Caenorhabditis elegans: one gene and its partners. The protein of the gene in region 1 purifies or fractionates together with the protein of each later gene. This does not show direct contact. Each region holds a gene or a part of one and is shown in the gene's direction. Other genes may lie near its edges. The genes, in order: his-67, hrpr-1, pcaf-1 and rpl-10a.

What was found.
Region 2: the proteins of his-67 (region 1) and hrpr-1 fractionate together in Caenorhabditis elegans (co-fractionation; one large-scale study listed by BioGRID). This does not show direct contact.
Region 3: the proteins of his-67 (region 1) and pcaf-1 fractionate together in Caenorhabditis elegans (co-fractionation; one large-scale study listed by BioGRID). This does not show direct contact.
Region 4: the proteins of his-67 (region 1) and rpl-10a fractionate together in Caenorhabditis elegans (co-fractionation; one large-scale study listed by BioGRID). This does not show direct contact.

The regions. Positions count from the first base shown.
Region 1 is NC_003279.8:9,986,075-9,991,493, reverse strand, and holds his-67 (Histone H4), read left to right. Parts: upstream 1-2,730; coding exon 2,731-3,042; downstream 3,043-5,419. Other genes in the region: alg-5 (Protein argonaute-2), read right to left, coding at 18-978, 1,033-1,407, 1,452-1,519, 1,571-1,690; his-68 (Histone H2A), read right to left, coding at 1,979-2,362. UniProt on the Caenorhabditis elegans protein: Core component of nucleosome. Nucleosomes wrap and compact DNA into chromatin, limiting DNA accessibility to the cellular machineries which require DNA as a template.
Region 2 is NC_003279.8:12,057,669-12,067,331, reverse strand, and holds hrpr-1 (RRM domain-containing protein), read left to right. Parts: upstream 1-2,434; 5' UTR 2,435-2,444; coding exon 2,445-2,600; intron 2,601-2,654; coding exon 2,655-3,101; intron 3,102-3,707; coding exon 3,708-3,884; intron 3,885-4,085; coding exon 4,086-4,221; intron 4,222-4,435; coding exon 4,436-4,566; intron 4,567-5,113; coding exon 5,114-5,556; intron 5,557-5,602; coding exon 5,603-5,833; intron 5,834-6,228; exon of another isoform or gene 6,229-6,322; intron 6,323-6,379; coding exon 6,380-6,494; 3' UTR 6,495-7,061; downstream 7,062-9,663. Other genes in the region: F58D5.2 (MARVEL domain-containing protein), read left to right, coding at 1,002-1,127, 1,171-1,287; ksr-2 (Kinase suppressor of Ras B), read left to right, coding at 7,550-7,575, 7,625-7,696.
Region 3 is NC_003279.8:3,512,399-3,523,068, forward strand, and holds the start of pcaf-1 (histone acetyltransferase), read left to right. Parts: upstream 1-4,051; 5' UTR 4,052-4,153; coding exon 4,154-4,270; intron 4,271-4,326; coding exon 4,327-4,447; intron 4,448-4,501; coding exon 4,502-4,629; intron 4,630-5,406; coding exon 5,407-5,561; intron 5,562-5,624; coding exon 5,625-5,716; intron 5,717-5,766; coding exon 5,767-5,867; intron 5,868-6,860; coding exon 6,861-7,765; intron 7,766-8,904; coding exon 8,905-9,009; intron 9,010-9,058; coding exon 9,059-9,186; intron 9,187-9,909; coding exon 9,910-10,178; intron 10,179-10,669; coding exon 10,670-10,670. Other genes in the region: Y47G6A.18 (Golgi phosphoprotein 3 homolog sauron), read right to left, coding at 217-261.
Region 4 is NC_003279.8:2,873,472-2,879,620, reverse strand, and holds rpl-10a (Large ribosomal subunit protein uL1), read left to right. Parts: upstream 1-3,312; 5' UTR 3,313-3,318; coding exon 3,319-3,476; intron 3,477-3,581; exon of another isoform or gene 3,582-3,601; intron 3,602-3,649; coding exon 3,650-3,971; intron 3,972-4,019; coding exon 4,020-4,190; 3' UTR 4,191-4,223; downstream 4,224-6,149. Other genes in the region: Y71F9AL.8 (Myb_DNA-bind_3 domain-containing protein), read right to left, coding at 68-170, 337-621, 672-788, 837-932, 979-1,043; Y71F9AL.9 (CUE domain-containing protein), read right to left, coding at 1,584-1,849, 1,906-2,217, 2,269-2,484, 2,535-2,685; Y71F9AL.12 (UAE_UbL domain-containing protein), read left to right, coding at 4,332-4,418, 4,469-4,539, 4,584-4,752, 5,102-5,203.

The DNA.
Region 1 (5,419 bases):
CTACAAAGAAAACCTACTCGAATCTGGATTCCGCTGTAAAAATTCTTTCCTCTCATATCCCATGTTCCATTATTCGGAACTGTTACACACTCTTGTCTCTTCAAATTTGGGGAACGATAGAGAAGACGCGGAACCGGCAAGACACGTCCTTCAATCTTCAACAATTGAGCTTCAACTTTTAATCCAAATTTAACCGCATTGACATCATTATCCATTTTCAGCCGATTCTGAAGGCTCATGACTGCATTTTGTCGTTCAGTTGCATTTCGGCTCGTTGCTCTGATCAGATTTGCAATCTGTTGTTCATTCAGTTTCTTGATACATCGTTGGCCACTGACTACGTAACAAAGCTCCAAAGGAAGAATACATTCTCGAGTGCGTCCAACTTCAATACACGGAAGATGCTTATATGTCAGATCGATATTATAACGCCTTTTATAGTATTCAACCAATGAGAGAGGTTTAGAATCTTGATTGCCGGCAGTCTCGGAGAGATGGAAACTAATATTTTCAGTTGGTTTCCAAGTGCAACGGGCGACACGAAATCTTCGTGGACAACTACAGTGTCTGGTTTCAACTTTGAGTCCGGCCACTTCACGGTTGAACTTTTTCTTTTGAACATCGCTCAGCGAACGTCCGTCGGTGACTGTTGCCAGTGGAACTTCCAGAATTTCAGCAAGGAATTCCACGAGAGCCACGGGGCGGTAGAATGTAGTTGTTGCAACGTCGAGATTCATAGTGAGTGTATCGAATGTCTCAACAACATTTTGATAAAAACCGTAGCAAACTTCTCGTCCAACTCCTAAATTGACAGTTCCCCATCCAAGGCCATGCGAGGGTTCGATTGCAGAATTTTGTGCAATTGAGAAGAAAGATTGAAGCACGGCATGGAAATTTCCAGTAGAAGTTTGACGGAAGACAGTATCAATTGCATGCATCATTCGCAACTTCTGGTTCTGATCCTGATTTCCTGTGATACTGAAAAAGATTGAATTAAAAACAATGAAGAAGGTTTTCCAAGTAAAAACTCACATTTTAGTATCCAAGAGGAAGCTGTCGACATGTGTTAGATAGAGTTTGAATAGATTAGGTGATTCTTTTGTATTAACAACTCCTGCAACATTGATGACTGAATTATTCACTTCCTTGACATTAATCAGCTCTGTTGAGTACACAGTGTGAATTCCATCGAAAACTAACGGGCACTCGATAAGTCCGGGATTCTGTTCTTGCAGAGTTCTCAAAATCGTTCTGTTCAGCTTTTTCGACGGAATATCTGGATCGAATCGAATATAGTATTGATGAATAATCGATCCATTGCACGTGATTTGAAAATGATTGGCGAGAAGTGATAAGAATCGTCCTGTAGTGCTGGGAAGTGGCTTTCCTATCAATTTGAATGGCTCTCTGAAATTTTTAAATGTTTTAATTGTAATTTCTCAGGCATTCACCTGTTTTCTTCAATAGGATGCAGGTAGAGATCATCGGAAACTCTGGATCCAGAAGAACTGCTGAGAAACTGAAAACAATTTTATGTAATCAGCTAAATCCGAATTTTCTTTTTAAAAACCTCATTTTCCAAACTGGGCACGTTGATCGAAGTACTTCTTGATGAAGTGGAACTCCTCACTTTTAACTTTTCGACCAAATCATCATCATAAATTGCCGACAGCAACCATTGGTCTTCCATACCTGAAATTTGTTAATTTAAAAAAACTCAAACTGGAAAACGCAAAGAGACCATCGGCAATGTAAAATGCACGGTATCAGGTAAAACGGGCAACTATTCCAAAAAAATTCCTGAAAGTGAGAAGATTTCAATGAAGTTTTAACTGGTGAATTCTCCAGATTATATTTCGAATAAGAAATGAAAAATATAGCACAAATAGTTTATTGATTTGAACAAAGAGGATTTTCAGAAAATTGTGGCTCTAAAGAGGGCCGTTGGGTTCGGTGGGTTTTTGGATTCGGAAGATATTTATTCCTTATCTCCTCCGGTCTTCTTTGGGAGAAGAACGGCTTGGATATTTGGAAGAACTCCTCCTTGTGCGATTGTCACTCCGGCCAAAAGCTTGTTGAGCTCTTCGTCGTTACGGACAGCAAGTTGAAGATGTCTTGGGGCGATACGGGTCTTCTTGTTGTCACGGGCAGCATTACCGGCCAACTCGAGAACTTCAGCAGCGAGGTATTCGAGAACAGCGGCCAGGTAGACTGGGGCTCCGGCTCCAACACGTTGAGCATAGTTTCCTTTGCGAAGAATACGGTGAAGACGGCCGACTGGGAATTGAAGTCCAGCTCTTGACGAGCGTGACTTGGCCTTTCCTCCGGTCTTGGCTTTTCCTCCCTTTCCACGCCCAGACATTATGAGCGATTGGTGATCGTAAAACTAATCTGAAGAATGAACCAAGACAGTCGCTTTATATTTATTTTTACGGTGGCGGGGCGGAGTTTCCTGCGGGGACACCTCTTTTTGAACATTCGGTAAATTCCTGCGGGGACACATTTATCTCGTTTCTGCGTCTCTCTCACCTTCCTGTATGTCTCGCCTACTAGAGGCCAAAACGGCAGATATCTCTGCAGATGCAAGAGCGGCAGGCACGGAAATGTGTCCCTGCAGGATGGCGCAAACTGACTCCGCCTTTGCACCGCTGTATCTGCATAGGGAGTATATAAGAAGAACTGTTTTCCCAGTTCATCATCATTCGTGAGTCTTCAGCCAATCACTCAACAATGTCCGGACGTGGAAAGGGAGGAAAAGGCCTTGGAAAAGGAGGTGCCAAGCGCCATCGTAAAGTCCTTCGGGACAACATCCAAGGAATCACGAAGCCAGCCATTCGCCGTCTAGCAAGAAGAGGAGGAGTCAAACGTATCTCTGGATTGATCTACGAAGAAACTCGTGGAGTTCTCAAGGTGTTCCTTGAGAACGTTATCCGAGACGCCGTCACTTACTGCGAGCACGCCAAGAGGAAGACCGTCACAGCCATGGACGTTGTCTATGCTCTGAAGAGACAAGGAAGAACCCTGTACGGATTCGGAGGATAATTTCAATTGTCCTCCCGCTTCCATGCAACAACCACCGAACCCAACGGCCCTCTTTAGGGCCACAAATGATAAATCCAAACAGTCCGATTGCAATAAATGTTTATTTTCAATGCTTCAATTTTTTATCTTTTCACTCTTCTAAACGAATTTTACAGATGTTTCTCCAAACTCGATTTTCCACAAAAACGAAAAATCACGATAAAACACAAAGTCTAGACGCACAGTATAGAATTCAATTTGAATTTTCAAAAGAGTTCATTTCAAATCAGATATTACTTTTTAAAGTTATGAAAACTAAATAAATCTCCCAATAAAAAATGCGGTAATTTATATGCGTGAAATTTAGTTTTTTTTGATTGAACTCGAAGCTTCTGGCACCTAGAAAAATTACCGCGCTCTAATAATTATGAACACTCCAGGAGACCGTGTTTGATTGTCTTTTTTTGTGAAAATATTCCGTTTCCCATTGCCACCAGTTTCCCATCGTTTATTGCATACGTCCCATCACTTTTTTCTTATTTTCTGACACAATTTTTTCTTGAATTTTTAGGGTGTTTTTTTTTAATTCTTTGTAAAATTTCCATATAATTATCTTATCCCTAGGAAATAACTAGCATAATAACTCCATGCCCGACAAAAAAATATGTGATAAGGAGATAGTTCTAGGATTCAAGTAAAAAAGTTGAAGAAACGTTTTCAGAAATTAGTGCCAATTTAAAGGTGGTTCCTTCATCCTTCACATCAGCTTTTTCAACTTTTGTGGGGGCTTTGAACTGCTTTTTCGGGATTTGTCCTGTCCGAAGAGGTCATTGGGTCTGAAAATTAAGTTGCATGGCCGTGGAAAGGGAGGAAAAGGAAACTAAAATAAAACACTTAAAATTTTTGAAAAAAAAACTATTTGAAAATAAAAACTATTCTATGAAAATTCCACAACAACAAAGGGTTGGAAGCTACAGTATTCTTTAAAGGCGCACACTTTTTTTTCGTTTTTTTCGGCTTAGCAATAATTGTGGTGTCGAGACCGCTTACTGTATGTTTGGGCTAAATAAGTGCTAAATATCAGAACGTTGCTATCCAACTGTCAAATGCCAAAGATTAATTTTTAGTAAATTCAAATAATATTATTAAAACCCGTTCAATTGATAAAGTCATAAAAATCAACAATCAAAAAAGTTAGGACATTGTGAAAACAAAAGAGATCATTGTACATAAAATACGAGAACTTTGAATAATTATTATTCATAACCGTTAAATTGATTAAGCACAGTTGCAACGTGATTTTTGATCTTCTGAAATGGTCCATACGACATTCCAGTTTACTAGCTCGTATTTTTTTTTGTTTTTTCTATTTTTCTTGAAGAAAACAACAAAATGTTGCGTGAAAAATGTCCATTAACCACCAACAAAAAACCCATAACTCGTGAACCAAATTCACTTTTTTAGGCGTCTCACTCCTCTAAAGATTTATCGACCAATTTCCAATTTTGTGCAGAAGCTCAGAAGAAAGGGAGTTTTCAAATAATGACTTTTTCATTCAACACATACCACAAGATACTCTTTATTTTGTATCCGCAACAATGCATTTCACTACTGTATTATATGGAGATGGGGGATAACAATACCGTTCTCTCCGCCCATCTGTTCATGCTCCAAGTGCTCATAAGGACATAGTGGAGGGTAATTACGATTTATTGTTTGAATTTGAAAAGGATCAAGTGAAAAGAACAAAAGTGAAATGATTTATATGTGAAAATATTGAATTAATTTATGATATCTAAAGTTTCAAGCTTAATGTATAGTTATTTTACGATCGATCATAACTTTTTAAAAATTACGATCATATTGAATATATTACTTGGAAGAAGAATTTTTGGTATGTAGTGTTTTTAATTTAGCTGTCAAAAAATTGATAATCTGCTAAGTATGTGAGCTTGCATTTAATAAAATTTTGTTTTCAACTTAGAATTCGTTTTAATTTTAATTTTCAGTGACGTCTGTAATCCTATAAACTAAGTCCCTCCTCCTACTTCTCCACAATCCAGGTGCACTATTTGATAACCCACTTGTAATTCTAGTACTACCTTATGGTCCCTTATGTCACATTGTTTGACAAAGTATATTTGTATAGGTTTCATGTGTATTGCTTGTTTTTTTGTACGGTTTTCTCAGAGAAATTATATTATTTTTTAACTCATAGTAATTAATTTTAGGCGAGATACCGAAAATTCGCAATGTCATCAGTTGCATCTATTTTTGCACCTGTTTTTCGAAATTTTTGAATCGTAGTGATATTTAGTAGAGCCAACTAATAAAACTCGTAGAACGACGTTGCCAGCTGTCCAATGACATTCGGTGTCCATTTCGTTGAAAACATTCA
Region 2 (9,663 bases), 2.1 Mb from region 1:
CAGCATTTAAGCAGCATATGTATCATGTTTCAGAAAAAGTTTAGGTTTTGTATTCCTGTAATCCATCATTTTACATTGACCACTTTCACCGCTGCTTGCCCACTGAATACACAATTTTTTTACTTGGAAATTGTTTTAGCATCTGTAAAAAGTATTTATTTATCAGTTTTATTAAGAAAAAACGAAAAAAATCGATGAAAAACGAAAGAAAACAGGCGCAAAACAAAGCAAGATAAATGGCCTCTGAAACTTGTCGGCCCCTCGGCCATGGCCTAGAAACCACTTTTCCTCGTCCCTTGTGAGGAAAAAGTTGCAGTGCATGACTCATATCAGCAATATTTGATATTGCTTATTCACAATACCCTTTGTCTAAATGCTTTTTCCCCTGCCATTCCGACAGTTTCTCCGCCCCCTTTCTTATGTATTTATAGCAGCCCATGTGGACTGCTTTTCATCTTTCTTACAATAAAGGTCGCTGCCTGACCTAAAACCTTTTTTATGGTGTATTGAATCGGGCTCGGTGCTTCTGCAAAACCCAGGCGGGTCAGGCAGTGGGTTTATTCCCTAAAAAGAATAAGCCTGGTTCAACAAAAAGAACGTTGAACCGGTCAGAAAGATCAAGCCAAGATAGTTCGAGATGTGAACTGACACTTCCTCAGTAACCTTTTTTTCTACAAAAAAAAACACTAGAAACTGTGAGAAAATCAAATATTCTTGGCAGAGCACAATTGCACTACCCTGCACTTGCGCACTGATGAGAATTTGGCGAAAAATTCGCATTTTTATATATAAACTTACATTTAAATGTAAATTACTTCAATTTTGTGATAGAATGCATTTAAAATGTGTAGAATTTGAATTTTTCTCTGAAAAAAGTCGGAAAACCCGCATTTTCTCCTCAGAGCACAACCTTGGGTTTTCGAATTGTTTAATTTTTTAAGGTAAAATTCGATTTCCCTATTCTAAATGCAAATAAAAAATAGTTTTTCTTTATTTTTCAGGAAGCTCTTCTGTATGTGCTCGTTTCGGTGGGCCTCCTTGTGTCTGCCATCTTGATGTGGGTGTTTTGTGCGGCTCATTGGGCTGAAATGAATCCCGAATGGGCTACGATGCCAGCACTGGCTACGGTAAGTAACTTATAAAATTCTAAGACTCGGAGCTCTTTTTTAGGCTGCTCTATTCTTGTGTTCGGCTCTTTATTTCATAGAAATCTGTGTCTTGCTCAATGATGCTCGCCGGTGTAGCTGGAGACCACCACAACCGACATCTTCAGTTCTTCCTCAATAAATCATCAAAATAATAAAAATAAATAATTGAACAAATCCATGGTCTTTCTCATCTAAATATACCTCATTTTTATCATAAATAAATAGTTTTTACCTGCAAAATAAGACTGATCTCGGGCGGGCTCGAACCACCGACCTTCTGTGTGTTAGACAGATGTGATAACCACTACACCACGAGACCGCTGGCACTGTCAGCTTTTCAATGTCATTTTATTTTACACGTTTTTTGAAAGACTTTGAAAGAGTCTTACCTTTTTGATTTTCACTGAAGTACTAGAAAGTTCCCACCGAGATTAAAATTTTATGAATTTATTTGCCTCTTTCTCTAACTTATTTCTAGGTCCCTTTAAATTAGTATTCAGTGATGAAGCCCACCGGTGCAGCTGGACACCATTCATGGTTATCCAAAACGTCCTTTTCAATCTCTATGCTCTCTGATCCTCTCGATTTCCCATGATATCTCTCCCTTTCTCCATTCAAAGAGTACATCCTCGTCCCTTCCCGTTCCATTCAACGTCTTCTGCTGCTCTTTTCGTGCAAATGAACACCATCTGTTCACAAGTAAACCGCGACGCGGCCGCTCCGCCCGACGAGAGATGTGCTGCGATGTGTGGTATGGGGTGAGAGACGCAGACGGTGTAAGTTAAAGGGACATTACCCAAAGTGTGAAAGATATCCCGTACCGAAGACGCTCGCCGCTTCGATTTTTGTTTTTGCCGCCGTTCGATTCGAATTTTGAACGTCTTCGTCATCTTTTTTGTGCATTATCCTTCGTTTTTCACGATTTTAAACCTCTTAGAATGTTAAATTACCTTGAAAATCCGGAATTTTCACATAAAATCCTTCAAAAAATTGAGTAAAACTCCGAAATTCGATGTATTTCATGTGCAATGTAATATTTGAACAATTTCCTGATTTTTTACTGGTTTTTCTTAATTTTTCTATCAGTTTCTGCTTTATCTAGACTTTTTCTTAATTTCAGAGTTTATTTCACTCATATTCTCAATCAAAATTCCAGTAAATTTGTGAAAATAGGCTTGAAAATTAAATTGATTTGAATCTTTAAAATCTGCTGGAACATCAAATTTTTCACAGTTTTTTGCTATTTTCAGAGCAATTTATCGTATTTAGATTATCGATTTTTGCAGATCTCCCGCCATGAGTGAGGAAATCAAACAGGAAGTAAAGGAGGAGGCTCCAGAAACAACGACTGAAGCCAAGACCGAAGAGGCTGCTCCTGTCGCAGAAGTAGTTGCAGAAGTTGTTACCAACGGAGATAAGCCGGCTGAAAATGGAAAGACCGAGGAGCCAAGCGTATGTTCTATCTAGAAAGGCGCACTTAATCAGTAATAATCGTTGAATTTCCAGAAATACGCCGAGACCGAGAACTACAAGAAGCTTATCGGGCTTAAAATGAAGCCAGCCCTCGCCGACGTCGTGTGCGAAATCTACGAGTCCGGACTTCTCGGCCCAGAGGATCTCGATGATCGTGCAGTCGACATCATCAACTCGGTGAACCTCGATCAGGCAAAATTCATCTTTACCGAAATCAAGAACTCTGAACTCTTCGGAGTTGCCACCAAATCGCTTTACGTCACCTCACTGATCCGCTCATTCAAAGATCGGTGCCGTCAACAGGGAGCAGCTGCCGTAACATCCGGAAAGCTTATCAATGGACCAGAGTTGGCCGCGTTGAAGAACCTACTGGAAACCACCGGATACACCATTGAAGTCACAATTGGACAGAGAAAGTTCGGAGGACCTCCACCAGATTGGGAAGGACCTGCTACAGGGCCAGCTGGACAGGGACACGAGGTAGAAGCGAGAGGCACCACGAAAATGAGATCTGGAAGCGGCTTTAACGCCAATTTTCCCGAAGAAATACGTTACAACGATGCTCTGCGGCGCGTTGTTTTGCCTTTCTTTATGTGTGCGATAGAGCTTTTCCGTCAATTTTTGCCGTTTCTGTTCAAAGTTTATCGATTTTGCTTGATTATTTCCTTTTTCAGCTATTTTTAAAGGAAAATGACCACGTTTTCGCCCAGAAAACAATGCCAAGTTTCTATAGATTTCAGAGTTCCTTCAGACGCTCTAACGGTAAAAACTGTGAAAACTTGGCCATTTTTCATCAAAAATAGCTCAGCTTTAACCTACAAGTTGAAAAAGTTAGCGGAAAATTACTATCGCTAAACTGAAAAAAAGCAAAAAGACCGAAAAACCGCGCCGCAGACTTGCAACTTGCAACCGACGTTTCGCTTTCTCTAGACCGTGCCCATGAGGCTTCGTGCCTTTTTTCGGATTAAAATTTCGAAAAAAAACGCGCATCCGAGAAAAATGGCTTTAAAAGAAAACTACCGCTGCCAGATCCCAGTTTTGCGAATTCTCTTTTTATGAGACCCTCACCTATTCAACCATTTTCAGATCTACGTCGGACACATTCCAACGGACGTCTTCGAAGACACCCTGGTTCCCCTCTTCGAGAAATCCGGAAAAATCTGGGATCTCCGTCTTATGATGGATCCAATGTCCGGTGCTTCCCGTGGATATGCTTTTGTCACGTATTGTAATAAGGAAGACGCTGCGGCTGCCGCCAAGACTGTAAGTTTAGGCTTTCCCCATGCAATTTCAGAGCAGTAGGGTAGGGTGATGCCTCTAGCCATTGAAAAATTGCTTCCCAATGCGTTGTGTTTATTCATTATTGCATTTTGGACACAATTGGAGAGAATTCCCGCCTTCCGAGCCAAAAAACCATTTAAAAACCAACATCACAACGCATTTCATCCATTTTCTTTACTTTAGTATGACGGCCACGAAATTTCGACTGGAAAACCACTCAAAGTGAACGTTTCGATCGCTAACACTCGCCTTTTTATTGGCAATATTCCGAAGACGAAATCTAAAGACGAAATTCTTGAAGAGCTCAAGACTCATGCAGGTACAGAACCCATTTTCGAAACATTTTCTCGATTTTCAAGCAATAAAGATTCAAAAAAAGTGAAAAAAGCGAAGAAAAAATCGATTTTTTTTCTTCTTTCTGTATCCTATTTATTTTTTCTATTGTGATCGTGTGGTCTTTTTTATTAATCAATATTACTATTATTATTATTATTTTCAATCTAGCCACTTTCAGCAATAATTTAACATTTCAGAGGGCGTAGTTGACGTTATCGTCTACTCGGTGCCGGACAATGAGAAAATAAAGAATCGTGGATTCTGTTTCGTTGATTTCATCGATCACAAGACGGCTTCTGATATCAAGAGAAAGATTGCACAGCATAAGGTGAATTTTTGGATGATTTGGAGGATTTACGCTGCATTTTCGCTGGCTTTTTACCTTTAAAATGGCTAATTTTATAGCATTTTAAGTGAAAAATTGATTTTTCTCGATATTCACGTAAAACAATTGGAATTAGCGACTTAAAAAGTGAAAATACTTGATTTCTGGGACATTTTCCCCCTTTAAGCGGCTAATTCAAAGTGCTTTATGTGAAAATCGAGAAAAATCAATTTTTCACCTAAAATGCTATAAAATTAGCCATTTTAAAGGTAAAAAGGCAGCGAAAATGGCACAAAAGAAGCATTATAGCCAAAAAGAGCATACGAGTCAAGAGAAATCGATTTTCGTCTAGAATACAGTATTTTAAGTGAAAATCTATGTACTTCTTGATTTTTGAGGCATTGTAACTTATAAAACTATACATTTTTATATTTAAAAGGTAAAAAAAAACGTTCCAAAACAGACAATTTTCTCCTCGAGAACTACACGAGCTGCGTAAATCTACACGATTTTTCTCTGAAAATAGCAAAAATAAAAATATTCTTTCCAGATACGTCCATTCAACGCTGATGTCTACGTGGATTGGGCTGAGCATCAAGAAGAGCCAGACGAGGATACCATGTCGAAGGTGAAGGTGCTGTACATCCGAAACATCAAGGAAGCAGTGACCGAGGAGAAGCTGAACGAGCTCTTCAAGGAATACGCAAGTCTGGATAGAGTTAAGAAGGTGAAGGACTACGCGTTCATCCACTTCAACGAGCGTGACGATTGCCTGAAAGCAATGGAAGAATGGAATGGAAAAGAGCTCGAGGGAACTGTTGTTGAAGCTTCACTCGCCAAGCCACCACAGGAGAAGAAGAAGAAGCCAGTGATGCGTGGGCGTGGATTCGGTGGAGCTGGTGGTGGTGCTGGAAATCATGGACAACGTGGTGGACAACGTGGAGGTGGTCAGTGGGGTGGAAATGCTGGACCAGGAGGTTATTATCCAAATCAGTGAGTTAATTCAGTGAAAAACTATGAAAAATCAACACATTTTCAGCTTCAACAATGGCTACGACATGCCAATGCCTTGGGGAGGTGGCTACGGTGGTGACATGGGATATGGTGCATATGGAGGAGGTTACGGTGGTGGATACGGTGGCCCGGGAGCCTATGGAGATTTTGGAGCCTACGGAGGCGGTGGATTTAGAGGAGGAATGCGTGGATCGCCGAGAGGAGGAATGGGCGGTGGAGGAGGATTCCGTGGTGGACCACCTGGACGCGGTGGAATGTAAGTTTTGAAGTGTGGTGGAGTGCTGCTGCGCCAGTGGACGGAATTTGTCTAAAAAATTACAAAAAAATTAATTTTGAACTGCCCTTGTTCGATAGAGCGCGCTTGCATTTTTTGTAATTTTTAAAAAATTCGTTTCTCACATTTTCCAATGATTTTTCTGTAAATTTTCACTGGAAATTTGAAGAAAATTTCAAGAAAAATGCAAATTTTTCACTAGAGAGCATCTGTATGGGTACGTAACCATAAAGTTGCCTTATTGTGAAAAATTTGCATTAATCTTGCAAACGTTTCTTCAAATTTCCAATAAAAATACACTGAAAATATAAAAAATCAGTAGAAAATGAGAAAAATAAACTAAAAATGCATTAAAATAAATAAAAAATACAAGCGCGCTCTATTGAACAAGGGTAGTTCAAAATTAATTTTTTGTGTTTTTCAAATCAATTTCCCCCCCCCCCCCCCCCCCCCCCACTGGCGCAGAATTCTCCATATATCTTTATAAAATTGTGCAAGAATAATCCTAATAAATGTCTGAGGTTACAGGGCAAACAGACGCGGTCGAGGAAAGCGCCCGGGAGACGGACGAGGGGGACCAGCATCGAAACGAGACAACGGAAAGCCTGATTTCTCGGCTGACGTCAACATGAGCACTTTCTAAATTGCACCCCCGGCAGAAACTCACTTTTTCTTTGTTTTTTAAATTATTTTTCACTCCCCCCATTTTTTAAAAAATTTTAAACTTTTTCAACCAAAAATTTTGCATTTTGCATTATTTTTCTAAATTTTTTTGTTTCGTTTTTCGAATGGTTTTGATCTCAAAAATCGTTCGACTTTAGAAAGTGGTGCGAAAAATCGAAATTCTATAATTTATATACATATTACCCTCATTTCTTTTTCGAATTTTTTAAAAAATTTTTCCACTCCCTCTCTCTCCTCAACCCAACCCGTTAATCTCTCACGACCTCAAAAAGTGACAAAAACCATTCTGAAAAGTTGTATTTTCTCATTAATTGTAATAGAGATTTTGATATTGAGCTTTGCAAAAAATGGTTTTTAACGTATCTCTCTCTCTCTCTGTTTCTCTATTCCCTTCACCCTCTCCCTCTCTCTCCATTTGAAACCGTTTTATTCCGTTTTTTTTTTCTGTGTCTCGAAATTTTCACCTTTTGCTGTGAAAATTGGACGCACACACAATTTTAAAATAAAATAAAAAAAAATTTCGTTCAAAATTTTTACTCTTTCTTTCGGAAGTTTGCCCAAATTTGATTTCTCTGTTTCAGATCTTTTTTTTCGCAGTTTTCTACAAAAAGCTCGGAGAATTTTGCAATGCGGCAGGGAAAAAAGGGCGGAGCGTCGTTTGCAAGCCTGCGGCGTGGTTTTTTTTGGGATTTTCAGGATTTGGAAAATATAAAATATTTTTGGATTTTTACAAAAAATTAATACTTTTATCCAGTTTTTGTCAGAAAAAAAAAATTAATGTAAAATTTTCGAGCCTCAACCAAAAAATAAATGCCTTTTTCACTCAAAATCTTCAATTTTTTTACAAAAAAATGCAGAAAAAAGTGAATTTTTTCTAAAATAATCGCTGAAAAATCAAAAAAAAACCGCGCCGCAAGTTTGCAAACGTCGCCACGCCCCCGCAACACCTAAATTTCACGATTTTCAAATTTAATTTTTAAATATATCTTTTTTTGCAGGGAGAACCTTCGTCAGATGAGCGATGAAAAGAAGAAAAAGCGGTAGGCCGAGCAGGCACACATTTTCAGGCAATTTAACACCGATTTTCAGCGGATTTTTCAGATACAGCGTGCTGACGACGTCATCGTTCTCATCGTGGCGGAGATCTTCAACGAGTGGAAGGTTAGGCAGAGTTTTTTTTTTGGCTGAAAATTCGAGAGTTTTCGATGTGAAAATGGCCTTTTCCCCAAAAAAATTGTCAATTTTCGCGTTTTCGCCGCGTTTTTTGGCACATTTCCCGTGGAAAATGTGCTTTTTTCGCGAAAAAAAATTCGAAAATTCCGCGATTTTTGAATAAAACAATTGCGAAAATGAAGAAAACTCAATTTTTAACCTGAAAAGCTTGCAAAACTTGGTTTTTGCTCTAAAAATCGCAAATTTCATCCGAAAAACCCCCCAAAAAAAGCAATTATCGCCTTTTCCTCGTATAGCTGTCGTCGTTCCACTTCATCAGTTCTTCTCTCCAATTTTTCCCCGGCTTTTCCGCATTTTTTTCCCAACGAGTTTTACGTTTTTTACTGCTGCTCAGCGGCCGATTTAATTTTAATTTATTACGATTTTCAGTCGTGAAAATAATATGCACAACAGGCAAAAAGATTTATGGATTTTCGAGCGAGTTTTCCTCGAGGAGTACACAAAAGCTGCGTAAATCTACACAGAGGTTTTCCGGCCGTCGAGTTGGCTTTTTCTCATATTTTGGAGAATTTCGTTGTTCCGTAGTTTTCAGCCAGCCGGGGTTCTGGCCTTCCTCATTGAATTTTTCGCGCTCCATTGACAATCCTGTCTGCCGGACAACGCGTGGGAAAGTGTCGTGTACTCCTCACTGACAAATACATTTAGTTTTACAACTAGAATCGAGCCGCAACGCGCCGTAAATCTACCGAGCCAACATGGCCTAGTTCGGCCAAAACTCTTCCATTTCAATTTATGAGGGAAGCATAGAAATCTGTGAGATCGGTTTAATTTTCTAATTTTCAAGAATAAAGAATCTCACGAGATTTGTCTTTTCTGGAAAATGCAATCACAGTTCTGCTTTCCCGCTAGTTTTCTGGAAAATGTCCATTTTCAAGCTTCTCGAGGTTAATTTACGACTTTGTGCTGGCTCACATGAGCTCCTAGAGCCATTTTGGAATATTCAATGGCTCCGTTCGCCTTGGAAGACGAAAAAGAAAAAGGAAAAAATAGAGTGTTCGATTAAATTTTGCCTCCTTCGCCGTTCACATCTACACTCGGGGTCTCAATTTTTCCTCGCTCATTTCATCAAATGGTTGAAGGCTCCCGGAGCCCACCCATTTTGAGCCTAGCTAGCTGAGCACGCCTTTTTTGCTGAAAACGACGAGAGCAGCAGACACACGCACACATTTTTGTGCTCTAAGGCTCAGTCAGCTACACAGCACAACAAGCATAGGTTCGCTTCATTCAAGAACATCAAATTGCATGTGCTTAAATGTGCTGCTCATGCTATTTGCTCATTAGTACCCTTTGGAGACGATTGTGGTACGCGATTGTGAATCGAAGGCGGGGAAGATATGAAAAGTAGGTTTTAACTTGGCTTAGAGCTCTTAGAAGTTGTCCTGAAAGTCCTCTGGTGGCCGTGACGAAGAGAAAATTCGGCCACACTCAGCAAATTGAGACGGTCCAGAGCCGCTCCGTTTGACGGATTCACCCGATTTCGCTTTGATCTTCGAAAAATGCGGGAGGTGAGACGCAGACCTCTCAACTGTTTTTGCATGGTTAAGAGTGTGCTGACGTCACATTTGTTCTGCGAAAAAATTCCCGCATTTTTGTAGATCAAGCTGTATTGGGATAGCCTGACACCATGTACGGATTTTGGCAAACCTACCGTAATCCTTACGGGACATGAATCTTCGGCATCTCGTTTGAAATAGACAATTTTCAACGCGAAAATGGATTTGCTGGAGATTTTTTTCATTAATTCCAAAACTACAGTAGCTTTCCAAAAATTTGTGGAATTCGCATAAAACTGTATGGAAAATGAATAAAATCCAACAGATTTCTCACCGAAATCTTTCAATGTCGATTTACGCAGCTCGTGTACTTCTCGAGGAGTACACGAGAGAACTGCGTGA
Region 3 (10,670 bases), 6.5 Mb from region 1:
ATCGAATTTTTTTGTTTGAAAAATTGAAAAAACCGCGCCGCAGGGTTGCGAAATTAAGCTCCGCTTATTTTTCCGTGCGACGCTGTTTCTGCAAAATTCACGGATTAATCGTTTAATTTAAACATTACACAGAGGTAATTTAAGTTGAAAATTTCATCTTTTTCAGTTTTTTTTATCTCTCGTGTTTTTCCATTGAACTCTGTAAAATCATCCTACCTCTTCAGCCTTTCTGCGTCTCTGGACCAGCTGACCGTCCGACATATCCGATTATTACAGTATTAAATTCTATCCAAAAAACACGTCGGCAACTAACTGGGCGAGTCGTTCCTCAACTTCTGAAATGGCAATAATTTCTTCAATTTGACAAAAATTTCGCTCAAAAAATTCGGTTTCACGTTAAAAAGTTGCAAATTTCGGGTAAATTAAATGTTGAATTTCAAAATTCGTTTCCAAATCAAGATTCCATGCATTTTGCTTCTCCCTATTAGCAATTGCCAAAAACATTCAAAATCGGCTAGTGAGAGAAGCATAAGCTGTGTTGTAGATTAAATCTAGAAGAACCAGTCTGAAAGTGGAGCCTCCAGCAGATGAAAAGATCGTTGGCAGTGATAAACTTTTGAGACAAATGAAGATGATGCGCAAAACCGGATGGAGTGGAAGAGGAAGAGGTGTAAATGGGTGTTTTTTGGGAATAAATTATGAGTATCTAGCTTGATATTCGATTTTTAGAAGTTTAAACTGGATTTAATCGAAATTCAATTTTTTTAGTCTCCGGAAAGGCAGCCGCGAAGAGCTTTAATCGTTATTTAAATAAAAATTTCAGTGTTTCAGAAATATTTTTTAACCGATTTATTGCCGATTTAGTAAATTTTCAGCACTAATATTCAAAATTATGGAGGTTTTACAGAAAATAAATTTTTTTTTTAATTGTATGAGTCTAATATCGAAATATAAAAATTTGCTTCATCTGGAAATAGTTTTCATATCAGTTGGAACAATTGAAAAAAAGCTCAAAAATTGCATGAACGTTGAAAAATGCCGGAAAAATAGGCAATTTTCAACTTTCAGAAAGTTTTTCCAAAGGTTTCAAGTAAAATGAACGCATTTTATCGGATATTTCCCTTTAAATTTAGTGATAAAATGTAGAAAAACATTTTATTTGTCTGGAAATAGCCTTTTATTTTGCTCGAAACATTTGGAAAATTTGGAAAATTTTTTGGGAAATTGTGAAATTTTTTTATGAAAGGCTATTTCCAGATAAATAAAATGTTTTTCTACATTGTATCACAAAACTTAAAGGAAAATATCCGATGAAATGCGTTCATTTTACGCGAAAAATTTGGAAAAACTTTCAAAAATTGTCTGAAAGTTGAAAATTGCCGAAATTTGTTTCTAGCAGTCTCCAACTTTCAGGCATTTTTCGAACGTTTTTCCTAATGTTTCAAGCCAAATAAAAACAATTTTCAGACAATAAATTTTAAGAAAAAATCTAAGGAAAGGTGTATTTTACAGAATTACTGGTCGGCAAACTCCAACTAATACAACAATTTCGGAAGGGAAATTATAAAACAGTTGTTATCGCCTAAAAACGAAATATTACATCACAAGCGAGCAAGCTTTTCCATGTGAGCAGGGAAAGAGCCATTGTTTGGTCAGCTTTTTTCTGGGGCTGCTCTCCAAAGCTTTAACTGCCACCAACATTTCCACAAAAAAAAACAGCCAAAATTATATTAATACTGGAGAACTGGGTACTTAAAAAAAGGTTTGTACAGTTTATAGATGCTTATCAGAGGGCGTTGCTGTGAAGCTTTATCATGGAAAATGGAAGAAGGAAGAGCAGGGGTGATAATTGATTGGAACTCGAGAGATTACTCGGAAAAGCTCGAAAATTTAATTTCTTGTAGATTCAAAAAACATCAAATCATTGGAATAAATGTAATGAATCGACAGCGACGCACGGGCGAAAGCTAGTATCGGGAGAAGAGCGTTTCGATTGAAAATACCAGGAGAGGCGAGAAGTGTGGAGAGACGCGAGAGAAGAAACGTGGCGTTGGGGACAGAGAGAGTGAAGAGACCACAGAGACACAGAAGGGACGAGCCGGATGATGGAGACCGCCGGAGGAGAGAGAAGGATGGTGACGAAGCGGACGGACGGACGACGGCGACATACTTTGCCGTGAATTTTCTGTGCGCATAAAGAAGTGAACGTTCTGAGTGAAATAATAGAATAATGTGATTTTGGCTTCTAGTTATCTCGTTATTCAAAGGTGAAGTAGCCGGAATATTTTTAAAAAGATTCAAAAAATCTGAAATAGTCTCAAATTTAGCAAAACTTTAAAAGAAAAACGAAAAGAATGAAAAATCCAACTTCTAAAGGGGGAGTAGAGTTTGTGAGTATTTTGTTTAAATAGACTAAAACTGGTCTAAAATTACCGAATTTCATAATGAGACTTCACAAAAAATTTTCAAACAACTTTTATGGCGGGTCAAAATTTCGAAAAAAAAAAGAGTCAAATTTTGCTAAAATCTGAAATTTCGCTGGCTTTTCTTTGTCACAGCCGCTGGACTTTAGTTTTTTCTGAAATTATCATCCTTTAATCCTTATTTTGGTAGATTATCTCGCGGAAATTGGTTGATTGAGACAATTTTTAGACCTATAGGCATCCAAAAATGATAAAAATTGGATGCCTATCGGCCTAAAAGTTGTCTCAATCAACGAATTTCCGCGAGATAAATTACCAAAAGAAGGATTAAAGGATGATAATTTCAGAAAAACTAAAATCCAGCGGCTGTGACAAAGAAAAATGTGCGAAATTTCAGATTTTAGCAAAATTTGGCTCTTTTTTTTCGAAATTTTGACCGGCCATAAAAAATTTTTGGAAATTTTTTGTGAAGTCTCATTAAGGATTTCGGTGGTTTTGGACCAGTTTTAGTCTATTTAACCAAAATACCCACAAACTCTAAGTTATTTTACAATTCGCCCACTTTTGGACCAATCAGAGCAGCTCGAAGGCGCTGATTGTTCAGGGCGTTCTCATTTTGGAGGCTTTTTTTTGGACTTTTCACTTTTTTTGCAATTTTTTCTGTGGATTCCGGCTTACTATATATATTTTTTTCATAAAATCCATAAAGTTATTGTGTTGCGAGTCACAATATTAAATGTATGACGTTTCGTTATTCTTATCTAAAAAGGCAAACATCTCGGTCTCACAGTACTTATATTTGAAAATTTTGATTTTTAGGCTTTTTTCTTTGATAGGAAAGAAAAAGGGGGACTTGTTGTAGGTAGAACAACATACCTGCAGGGTTTCGAAAGAAAAAATATGGCGAAAAATCCTCGATTTTTATTATTAAAAAATTTTTTCCAACTTCTCAATGATGCTTGAAAAACTGTGCAAAGCACTTCAAAGTCGGCATTTTCAAACAAAATTTCTTATTTTCACGCAAATTTTATTGAGGATTTCAAGTTTTAGACGACAATCCAAACAAAAATCGATTTTTTTCCAAAGTAAACTGTACAGACTGCTTATAGAGAAGAAAAACAGATTCTATAAGAATTCAATAAAATTGGAAAACAGATGTTAACGGAGAAAGTGCAAGCAACCTGGTCAGATTAGCGCAATCGGAAGAGGAATGCAAATAACAAAAAAAAATTGGCGATACAATCTCAATTCGTCAGGTGTTTTCTACAAAGAATCGGAAATAGTTGCAATTTTTTAAAATTAAAAAAAAAAGATTTTTCTAAAACGACTTCAAGCTAACGTTATCGCAAGTGTCTGGAATTCAGAAAAAAGGAAAAGCAAAGCCAAATCGAAATATTGAAAGAAACTGCCAAAAAAAGCAAAGATAGTGCTAAAGAACCTTAAATTAACTTTTATAAGGGTGATTTTTAATTTTTCAAACAGAAAACATAAAACATTGAAAAAAAAACAAAGGAAATTTGAGATTTTCAGCTTAGAAATATTTAAATCTGAAAAAAGAAGAAAAAAAAATAAATCAAAAATCCACATCAAATTGTGCGGTAGAGCGCGAATGCGTTTCTGTGCATTCTACCGTGATGGTGTTTGCACACATTTTGCATTCAAAAAAACTGTTTTTATTCCAATTTTTTTCTAATTTCAATTTCTACTGAAAACCAACGAAATAAAAAAAAATGAAACAACGCGACTCTCTGGATGAAAAACGACGACAATTAACATATTTCACGTCTTGCAACGCCGGAACATGCCAATGCCGTGGTTTCCGGCCTGTTTTGAATCACGAAGATGAGGTTGGTGTTTAATCTGAATTTTTTCCCCGATAAAACCAATTTTTCTGCTTTTTCAGACTGTCGAACGGCGAGCAACACGAGCAGAAAGAGAAAATGATTTTGCACCGATGACTAGGGATCTGGAAACTTTGGGAAGCGAGGAGATAATCGAATGCCGAACGTGTGGTCATTCTATATGTAAATTGGCTGAAAATCTCATTAAAACTCAATTTAAACCTTAAAAATTTGCAGCTTTTCATGCGGAGCCACTAAAATATTTGTCACAAGAGGATCTGGACACGTATACGGATCAAATTTCCGACCTTCAAACCTGTTGCTCTGAACTTTCAGAAATCGATCCTTCTCATGAATCTCTTCAGGTTATTTTGAATTAAAAATTTTAATTTTAAATTTAAAGGTGGACTACGCTCAGTGGGTAAATTGCTTTAAAACACGCCTATGGGGCCACATTGGCCGAATATTTCATGATAAAAAAATTCAAAAAATTTTTCTAGATTTTATATGATTTTTTGAAAATTGGAAAAATCGCAGTTTTCACCTAATTATTTTTGAATTTCCGCCAATTGAATTTGTTCGTTGGAGCGTGCTTGCATTATTTTTATTTATTAATTTTATTTATTCTCGTTATTTGACTGATTTTCTTCATTTTCTATGTTTTTTCCTCGGAAAATGGAAGAAATAAACAAGACAAATGCAACATTTTTGTTAAAAACTAATTGAAAATGCGTAAAACTGATATTCTGAGTTCCGACGGCAACAAGCCTGAAATTAGTATATTTCACAGTTTTACTCATTTTCAATTACTTTTTAACAAACATTCTGCATTTGACTTGTTTATTTCTTTCATTTTCCGAGGAAAAAACATAGAAAATGAAGAAAATCAGTCGAATAACGAGAATAAATAAAAATAATGCAAGCACGCTCCACCGAACAAATTCAATTGGCGGAAATTCAAAAATAATTAGGTGAAAACTGTGATTTTTCCAATTTTCAAAAAATCATATAAAATCTAGAAAATTTTTTTGAATTTTTTATCATGAAATATTCGGTCAATGTGGCCCCATAGACGTGTTTTAAAACAATTTCCCCATTGAGCGTAGTCCACTTTTAAAAGTTAAACAAATTATATTTTTCAGACGCTATACATCACAATGCAAATTCTCCTGAAATCCCTTCGCACACTAACGCCCGTCGATGTGCCTTTTATCGGAAAACCAAATTTTGAACCGGAATCCCTAAGCCCATATATTCTTGTGAAGAAGTTTATCGCATCCCGACCAGTTGATAATGCGTAGGATAATTTTTTAAATAAAAAAAAAGTTATATAAATAAAAAAAAACCCCGAGATTTTCAGCGAAAAACAACGATTAGCCGAAATTGGAACGCTTTTTCTAACTGAAATGAACCACTGGAAGCTTGAAGGATTTCAGAGTCTTGCGGATAAATGTACACAGTTTTTTGCAATAGAAAAACCGCCTAAAAATGCAATTTTTCAGTAAATGTGCCTCTCGAACAGGGAAAATATCGAATGATGTATGTAAGAATGGATTATTATGTGAATATGCCGGCGAAATACGTGTCTTTTAAGCAGTTTCAGGTATTTTCAATTTGAGATTCGATTATTGTTAAGAATAAAAGTAGAAATATGAAAAATCTTATTAAAAAATTAAAAAAATGAGTTAAAAGTTTTTTTTACTGAATTTTGGAAAAAAAAAGGTTTTTCTACATATTTCACAGTTAGAAACTGTTTTTTTCCCAAAATGAAGCAAAAAGGTGTTCCAAAATTAAATAAAAATCGAAAAATTCAAATTTTTAGCTTAAAATTTGATTTTTCTTGACATTTTTTAAGAAAATGAGACACTAAAATAAATAAAAAATAAAAAAAACCAGAAAATTCGATTTTCTGTTATTTGTAGTTGAAAAATTCAAATTTTTTAAATTTTTCTTAAAAATTTGAATTTTTTTAATATATCTGACAGATAAAAACAGTTTTTCTCCAATATGAAGCAAAAATTTTTCAAATTTTGCAAAAAAATTATTAAAAAACCAAAAAAATCACTTTTTCTCTCTAAAATTCGATTCTTTTAAATTTTTTTTCCCAAAATCAGTCAGAAAAAAGTTGGAAAACAAGCCAAAAAGACCCAGAAAAATGCGCCTTTTGAAATTGAGATGCAAACGCGCTCCACCGCAAATGCTCCGCCTCTAAATGTTGGGTCTCGTTAGGTTTTGGCGGGAACATTGGAAATTAAAACGTTTTCAAGCATTTTTCATGTTTTTCGTTTTTTTTTAAATGATTTTTATTTCAAAAAACTATTTTAAAAAACCTTTGAATTCCCAGTTTTCCCGCCAAAACCTAACGAGACCCAACGTTCAGGGGCGGAGCATTTTTATTTTGCCGTGGAGCGCGTTTGCACATCAACTCGAAACGCCGAATTTTTCTGCGTCTTTATAATAGCAATATTTTTTCCAAAATTTCAAAAAAAAATCTTAAAGTGAATGAAATTTTATATTTTTAAATAAAATTAAAAAAATAATTTTCAAAAAACCTTTATCTTTATTTAAAATTTTTTTAAAAGTATATTTTTTCCAGACAGTGGACATATTCGGCGAGAAGTTCACCACAACATTCTGTAATTATCTAATAAATGTGCTGAATACGGGCAACTATACACCATTCGGCCTTTCGGAAAGTGATTTAGAAGAGAATAGCGAAGATTTGATCACATTTGCAACGGATTTGAGGCGATATTTAGAGACTGAAGATCCACAATCAACCTCCACCACAAATCGACGAAAAGATTCAATTTCTACAGAAGACGTCATTTTGAAATATGTAAAACGGAAAAAGCCAACGGATCATTCTGAAAGTTCATCTCCACGTGAGCTCTCCACTTCACCTGTGGAAGAGCCCCGTCGCAGGAAGAAAGAGCCCTCAAGCTCCGCAAAAAAATCCCCAGAAACTGAAGAATCAATGGCTCTACTGCGTTCTCTGATTCGGGCGATCAAGTTCGAAGGCGACCTGGATGCAATGGAACCGAAGACAAAAGTCGAATTTGAAGCTCTTAATACAGAAGTTTCACGAGGTCTAAGTGCTCTACAGGAAGAGGAGAGTGGGCTCATTGAGTTCCGAGTAATTGGAAATGATCTTGATCCATTTCAACATCACGAGCAACTTGTTCATCTTGTTGAGCTTCAAAATCTATTTGGAGCACAGCTTCCGAAGATGCCCAAAGAATATGTGACACGGTTGATTTTTGACTCGAGGCATCAAAATATGGTGATTTTGAAGCGAGATATGGGAGTTATCGGTGGAATTTGCTTCCGAACATTCCCTTCACGGGGATTTGTGGAAATTGTATTTTGTGCAATTACTGCAATGGAACAGGTCAAAGGATATGGAACACATTTGATGAATCATTGTAAAGATTATATGATTAAAAATAAGATTTATCATATGCTAACCTATGCTGATGAATTTGCAATTGGCTATTTTACGTGAGTTTTTAAGACTAAAATTCTTTTTTAAATAAAAATTTTGAAAATTGACTCTATATTTTTCTCAATTTTGTGCTAGAAAAAATCTATTTTCTTCATTTTTGCACAAAAGAAAATCAAAAAATCGAGAAAAAAACATGTTTAGACAATTTAAAATATTTTTTTAATTTTGATTTTTTCGAAATATTGGAAAATCGGAAAAAACGGAGTATCGTAGAATAAAAACGCATTTTTTTACGACTTATTGGAGCTTCTACCTCAAAATTGGAAAAAAAACAGGGTTACTGTAGTCTGGATAGTACGCAAGCACCAGCTACAGTAACCCGAAGCGCCAGATTTTTATTTTTTTTTGTATAATAGAAAATGTCAATTTTTCCCGGAAAATCGAAAATTTAAAAAAAAAGTTTTTTTTTTTTAATTAAATTTTTTCGAAAAGCAAAACATCGTAAAACTAAAATTTTCAGTTAAATTACGTTTTTGACGACTTTTTTGTACCGTCTAGCTCAAAATTTGAAAAAAAAAAGGGGGTTAATGTAGTCTGGATAGTACGCAAACACGAACTACAGTAACCCGAAGCAAAAGATTTTACGCGATATTGGGCTAAAAATCAACAGCATTTTTGATACTAATTTGCTGCATGAAAATTTTCGAAAATCTTAAATTTGAATTTTTTGTAAAAAATTTTTTAAGAATTTTCAATTTTTTTGAAATAATTTCGAATTTTTGAGAATTTGAAAATCATTTTCAGAGAAAAATGATTCATTAAAAATTAATACAACATTTTTTATCTGAATAAAAATATAAATTCGAATTTTCAATTTTTTTTTTTGGAATTTGGTTGATGTAACAGTAAAATTACAATTTTTGCGTCGAAAATTAATCCCTAATTTGCCCATTTTTGCTAAAATTGAACCAAATATTTCAATTTTTAGTCCCCATCAAGGTCATTTCTACATTGAAAAGATAAATTTCATACTTTTCCCAAGTTTCCAAGTTCCAGAATTAAAAATGTACTAAATTTGACAAATTTACACATTTTTACAACTAATTTCTTCTTCAAAAACCAAAATTTTCGGCTAGAAAAATGCCAATTTTCAAAAAAAAAACCCCAAAACCTCTACAATGTTTTTTTTTTCCAGAAAGCAAGGATTCTCTGAAAAGCTGGAAATCAACGATACAGTCTATCAGGGATGGATTAAAGAATATGAAGGTGCAACTTTAATGGGTTGTCATCTACATCCACAGTATGAATTCCACCGGTTTTTTCCTAAATTTTAATCCAAAAATTTCCAGAATCTCGTACACAAAATTTCCGGATTTCTCGAAAGGAATTCAGGCTCTACACTGTGGATACAAGTCGGAAAATGGAGCAGAAAGCCGTGGAAAAGTGTTTGGAGGACTTGAGCATCTTTTCAGAGAAAGTATGGGGTTTATTTGGTGAAAATTACACTGAAAACCGCGCGATTTTAGTCGGAAAATCGTCTTAAAATTATAGATTTGTTCTAAATTTTTTTTTAGCCCTTTTTCTGTTGAAAAATTGGAAAAAAAATAATATTTGAAAATTTACTTCTAAAAAAGTGTGTGTTTTAAAAAAAATTTATTCTAAATTGTTAATTTTTTTCGAATTTTCAATTAAAAAAAACAGATTAATTCATTATTTGATTACCCGCAAAAATTAGCTATTTTTGCGGAAAAATTATTGAAAATTTGGCAAATTATGCTTCAAATCGAATGTCTAATGAAAGTATAAAATCCAATTAATTTGGCCGTTTTATTTGCGCGGGAATTTGAAAATTGGGTTTTTTAAATGAAAATTGAAAAAAAAAATTTACAAAAATTTTATAATAAAAAAAATCAATTTTCAAGAATTAATTTCAAATTTTAAATTTTTTTTCCAATTTTTCAAAAATAAATAATAATTTCCCAAATTTTCAGGAATTTTTCAGAAAAAAAGTGAAATTATCAAATTTTAGACCAATTTCAGACATTTTTTGTTAGTTTAAAATTTAAAATTTTTTATTGATTCAGAGTTTTTTTGTTGAAAAATTTAAAAAAATCCCTCGAAATTGAAAATAATTATAAATTAAAAATTTTTTTTTTGTTTTTTCCTATAAATTTATAAATTTAATTTCCATTTTCTGCAGGTTCCCCACAACTTCTCGAGCTCCGAAAAGTGCCGGGCACGGATTCGCTTAAAATGCACAAAAAGTCGTGTTACCATCTGGACGAACGAGACGATAGTCTTGACTCAAAAATTGGAGCAATTCTGAAGAAGCTGACCGCCGATAAAAATGCATGGCCGTTTGCAAGTCCAGTTGATGTGAAAGAAGTACCAGAATATTATGATCATATTAAGCATCCGATCGATTTTAAAACAATGCAAGAAAAATTGAAACGGAAGGCTTATACTCATGTAGGGCTTTGAAATTTGGCCTTTTTTCGGGAAATTTTGGCTGGAAAATGTGTAAAAAAATTAGGAAATTATTTTTGCGAGAATAATAGAGCAAATTTAGAAAATTTATAAAAAATTCCAATTTCCAGCGACCAAAATTATATTTAAAAAACGAAAATTTTTTTTTTGTGTTTTTGTGACAAAAATACGGTACCCCCGGTTTCGGCACGACAATGCGCATTTAAAAAGTACTGTAATTTCAAACTTTGCTGAATTTTCGTCGATTTTTCATAGTTTTAAGACAAAAAACCCACATTTTTATCGAAAAACTTTGAAAAATCGACGAAAATTCAGCAAAGTTTGAAATTACAGTACTCTTTAAAGGCGCATAACGTTTTTCATTTAGCAAAAATTGTCGTGTCGAGACCCGGTACCGTATTTTTGGCTTAAACGTCACAAAATGCCACGTCAGGGAGAAAATTCAAAGTTTTCTAAATCAACTTTTTTTTCAGC
Region 4 (6,149 bases), 7.1 Mb from region 1:
CGAGACCGGGCACCGTATACGACCGTACTTCACATTTAAAGGTACATGCATCTTATCTTTGCTGTACCTTATTGAAATCATTATTTTCAACAGTCTGTCGGATCAAATCGTTAATTGCTTGAGCTGCTTGGCCGGCTATTTTTCGCATTTCCGTCTTCCAATTGTGTGATCTGAAAATATTTCCTCAATTTATTTATTTCCTGCTGCAGAAAAAATGAGAGAAAAAAAAGTTTTTTTTTAATTTAAAAAAAAATCGATGTTTGTTGGTTTTTCGGAGCAAAAACTAGTTTTTTTGGCAAAAAATTCGATTTTTTGTGACATCTGTGGAGTATTCACCTCTGTGGAGGCTCTTCTTGTGGAGGCTCTGGCTCCACAATTGTCGAAGCACAAGAACTTTCGAACACATCACGGGATAACTCATCATTTCTTTCGATCCGTTGAGTTCTTGCTCCAGGACTTTTTGTTTTGCCCAATTGTGCTGCGCTGGTCGTCGGAGCCGTCGGAGCCGCTTGAAGCTCCAAGCTTGCGACCTTTTGCACCTCAATTTCAGAATTTTTCTCCACCGGGCGGCTTGCAACTACTTGCACGATTTTCACGGTTTTTACTGCCAAATTTCGAATGCTAAAAACATTTTTTTTAATTATTTCATGTTTTCTGAAATTAATAATTACTATTTTCGAGTCTCAGCACCGAGTCTTGACCCAAAACGTCTCTCAAGTGAAATTAAATCCGAAGATTTCAAATGTCGAGAGTAATAATCGATATTCGGGACAATTTGACGTCGCATTCTGTAATTAATTCCATATTTTTAATCGATTTTTTCTAAAAATTCGCACCGTCCACACAGTGATTGCACTGAATACGGACAATTGTAGGCTTCAACGTACAGTTGCCACGTGATTATTCCAAACGGTCCAAGGCTCTTGTCATTTCTGAAAGAGGTGATTCTTGAAATATCATTTAAGCATTCTATATTGCCTGGCAACCCATTTGAGCATTCTCACATCTTCGTAATCGTTATAATGATGTCGTTGGTTTCCCATCTGAAAAATTAAGAGCCTCCTATCTGGGGTGCTAACAAAAAAAAATAAATTTTTAAAAGAAACTATTTAATTTATGAAGAAAAAAAACACCTTTACACTCCCATAGTGGTTTTATTACTAAAGAAGAAGAAAAGAGAAAAGACGTAGAAAGGAAATAAAAACAAAAAGTTCTGATGTCTCCCGCATAAAACAAATAAGGCCTCTTGTGTGATATATATATATGTGTGTGTATGTATAAATTTAAGGGGGGTGCAGGATAAAAAAATGAAAAATGTTGGGGATGAAGGGAAGAACAGGAAAATTAAGCGAAACCAAGGGGGGAAAGGAAAGAAACGGAATAAGTTATAATGGATTATAATTACAAGCATAATGAATAGGGTCATTCACTTTCAATACTATAATTATCAAATCAAATCACAGTAAAAATAAAGATGCACTTTGCCGGAGTACCATCTTCGAACCAAGGAACCACAGTGAGCTGCTCGATCAAGAAATGGTATGAGGTGGAAGGGGGGATTTTTGAAGGAATGAAGAAGGGGTTTACAAAATGGACAGCTTTGGCTGATCCTTCTGGGCTCCCTTGTTGCCTTTCTTGCCCTCGCCTGACTTATTGTTGTTGTTGTTATTTTTCGGTCTGCGTGCAACGTTTTCCGAAGAGGTGATCAGGGAAGCGTCGACGCCACGAGATGCCATTGTGAGCATGAGTGTCTTCTGAAGATCAGCCAACTGATCGGCGCTGAGTCCCGATGAAGTGAGTTGGAAGCCAGCCGTGTTGGTGACTGTCTTTGATGCGGCTTTCTTATCTTCTGAAAATAAAAGAATTTTTAATTAAAATTCTATTCTAGAGACATTTTACGCATACCTTTGTGTGTTGGGCTGAGGTTAACACCTGAATCTGCTCCGACGGATGAAGTGATGCTTGACTGACTAGTAGCGTGCTTGATTGGCCCAGCGGCTGGAGGTGGAGAAACCGCCTGCTTCGTTGGAGCTGCTGCTGGCTTTCCGTTGGCAACCGGCTTTGAAGATCCTCCAAGAGCAGCAATTGCTTTGAGAATTGTAGAGGTATCAAATTGTGAAGCGTTTGACTGCTTCAACTCCTTCTCGCGGTCGTTCAATGCGAGTCGGATAGCCTTGAAAGCTGTCGACAACGGATCAGCTGGAGCTGGTGCACTGACTGAAAGGAATTATTATTACAGACGAAAAGAAAGAAGAAAAAGATACGTACCAACTGGTTTAGGTGCAGCAGCTGATTTAGTTACCGAAGAAGAGGCTGGGGCGGCTACAGTTGGAGCTGGAGCCGCTTTAGCAGGCGCTGGAGCACTTTGCGTCGTTTCCGGGGCAGCTGTTTCAGTCTTCTTGCTCTTGTTCTTCTTCTTTTTAGCTGCGGTTACACTGACTCCATCTGATGTGGTCCATCCTCCAAGAATGCTAGAGGCTCCATCTGAAAATTAAAAATAAATTCTAAAAAAAAATCAAATTAAAATGATTTACCTTCCAAGAAAGCAGAAATTGTCTTGCCAACGTCAAGATCGAATGAGTGAAGAACCATAATGATGTCATTATTGGTTACACTATCAACGACTTCACGAACTTTGGCGATTTTCTCCTGCATGATTTTCTTCTCGCTTTCCTTTGGTGCCATTTTTCTGGAAATTTGAAGTAAAGAAACGAGAAAGGACACATCGAAATGTCAAGAAAGATACATAAGAAACAGATTATGAGAAGGTTCGGTAAAACTTTGGGTAAGCGACGTAAAACACCAATCTCCTCGGCTGGTTGGCACGCGTTGCGGTCGCGTAGCGGCCAGGGTGGCACTGAGACGCGCGTTTCGGAGAGCGATAACCTACATAATGGGGAGCGTACTGGGAACAGGGCAAATGGATATTTTATCAATTTATACGAGTACTGATTGACAGGATCATGAGAATGATAACAAGTGGAAAAAGAAATGAGAATCTCGAAGGAAAAGGCCTAAAAGGGAAGGAAGACGTGCCACGAGGAAGACGCATGTAGTTTTGCAGTGGTGTGTACCCGCCGCGAAAGCAAGTACGGTAACACTCGTTGCTGCGTGTGCACTGCTTGGCCTAAAATTTTATCTCCACAGTTCTTTTCTCTTCGTTCTGTGGTTTTTCTGTAGATTTTTGGATATATTTTCTCCTTTTGAGTGATTTTTACTTTCTTTCAAGGTTTTAAAAGCCTATTTTTTCGTTATTGAACGTTATCCACTTGCTGCCCTCTATATAGAATTCTTAATTTATTTCTATTTCAGGGTAAAATGTCGAAGGTTTCCCGCGAGTCTCTTAATGAGGCTATCGCTGAGGTCCTTAAGGGATCCTCGGAAAAGCCACGCAAGTTCCGTGAGACTATCGAGCTCCAGATCGGTCTCAAGAACTACGACCCACAGAAGGACAAGCGTTTCAGCGGATCCATCAGGTAGCTACGACCTGTGAAAACAGGGAGTTGGGACTTTCAAAGCCTAACGGACCCCCACCCAGGGTCTTAAATTTTTGGGGAGGCAATTATTGCCGCTTTGAAATAATGATATGAGCTGGTATAATGTAACCAATCGTGTCATTTGGATTTATTTCTATTGTTCTATTTTCCAGACTGAAGCACATTCCACGCCCAAACATGAAGGTGTGCGTCTTCGGAGACCAGCACCATCTTGACGAGGCTGCCGCCGGAGACATTCCATCGATGAGCGCCGATGACTTGAAGAAGCTTAACAAGCAGAAGAAGCTCATCAAGAAGCTCGCCAAGAGCTACGATGCTTTCATCGCTTCCGAATCCTTGATCAAGCAGATCCCACGTATCCTCGGTCCAGGACTCAACAAGGCCGGAAAATTCCCTTCCGTCGTTACCCACGGAGAATCTCTCCAAAGCAAGAGTGACGAGATCCGCGCCACCGTCAAGTTCCAGATGAAGAAGGTAAACATTATCATTCTTATTGCCCTGTTAATAATTGTATCATTTCAGGTTCTCTGCCTCTCCGTCGCCGTCGGTCACGTTGGACTCACCCAGGAGGAGCTTGTCTCCAACATCTCCCTCTCCATCAACTTCCTCGTCTCGCTCTTGAAGAAGAACTGGCAGAACGTGAGATCGTTGAACATCAAGTCCACCATGGGAAAGCCACAAAGAGTTTATTAATTACTTTGTTATTCAATAAACATTGTTGATTTGATTCTATCTAGTCGTGCATTATTCAAAAGTTACATTGTCTAACAATCGTCTATCGGAAGTTGCTTCAATCTTTCGTTAGAACAAGAACTGGTCTTTCGTCACTTTCAGATGTCGGAGAAAAATGAACACTTCATGGTGAAGTGCAAGGGTCCCCCGAAACAGTTCTTGGCGATCGTTGGTGATACTGATGGAATGGTAAAAAGGAGAATACGAGTTTATTAATAACTCATGAATATCAATTACAGATCAGAAAAAGTTTAGAAGAACGTTCAAAAGCTGTCAAAGAAGAAGCTGATTGTTATTTCATTGAAACATAGTAAGAGATTCGGGGTCAAATAGGATTTAATTATGGATTTTCAGTTATTATTCTGCAAAATATGGCATTAAAACATATGAAACTCTTTCTGAATTGTCAGCAGATTACGAGGCCAACAATGCTCCAATAATGTGCATTTTCTTCGCATTAAAGTCGATGGATCAGCTGGAAGAAGCTAAAACTGTCTCTAATCAAGTTAAAGCCGATACAAAGGTTTTAGTTTTGAAAAAATCAAAAATTAACCGAAAACAGCTTTAAAAATTGCCAATTTTTCTTTTTTTCAAACGAAAATTTGATGAAAAAATTAAATTGCCGGCTTTTCGATTTTCAAAAAAAAAATCGAAAATTCTCTAATTCGAAAAAAAACTCAAAAAATCGATTTTCCAAAAAACAACTTAAAGTATTGGCCATTTTTCTCATTTTTTAGAAGAAACTTTGGTTTTTTCTCATGAAAATAATTTAAAATTGATGAAAAATAGGAAATTTTGAATTTTCTCTTAAAAAAATCTATTAAAATTTGTAAAAAAAAGAGAATATCCATTTTAAAATCAAAATTTTTTAGGTAATCATCGTGGAATCACTGGAACTATGTCCGGATTTTGATGGACTTGAAAAATTTGTTGCCGAAAATGAGTTCGAAGTTGTTTTCCTGAAACCGAATGAGGTAATTTTTTGGAGAAAGTTGGAGAAAAATGCCCCAAATTCCGAAATACCACCGAAAAAAAACCCATGATTTTGGCGATTTTTCAACTAAAATTTGAATTACACCCGCTTAATTTCGACGCAAATTCTTTTTTTTTTGTGTTTTTTCTCTAATTTTTAATAAAGAAAAAGGCACTAAATGTTCAAAAGTTTGAAATAAAATCCGTCATACTCGGTACGATTTTTGAACATTTATGACCTATTTCTTTATTAAAAATTAGAAAAACAACACAAAAAATGAGAATTTCCGTCAAAAAAAAAACCGAAGTGTGCTGTACGATTCTATGGGCGGAGTTTTTTTGGTGAAAAAATCGCGGAAATTAGTTGAAAAATCGGTATTTTTTCAAACTTAATAACATTTTTTAGTTTTGACTTTTTGGTGTCCTGGCATTTGGGACCAGCTTCAGTATTTTGAAAATAAAAACTTTAAAACACGTCTATGGGGCCACAATGACCAAATACCATGATTAAAAAATTCAAAAAAATTTTCTAAATTTTATATGATTTTTTGAAAATTGAAAAAATCTCAGTTTTTCCTAATTCCTATTTGATTTACCGCCAATTGGATTTGTTCGATGGAGCGCGCTTGCACGTTTTTAAATTAATTTATTTTATTTTTTGTTATTTTCCACCGATTTTTAATGTTTTCGGTGTATTTTTGGTGGAATTTTAGAGAAAAAGTCAAAATAAATGCAAATTTTTGATTAAAAAGCAAACAGGCGTAAAAATCAAAAAGTAACGCTTTTAAACGATTTCGAACCTGAATTAATTAATTTCACAGATTTACGCCTGTACGCTTGTTTTTTAATCGAAAATTTGCAATTATTTTGACTTTTTCTCTAAAATTCAAGCAAAAATACACCGAAAACATTGAAAATCGGTGGAAAATAACAAAAAATAAAATAAAT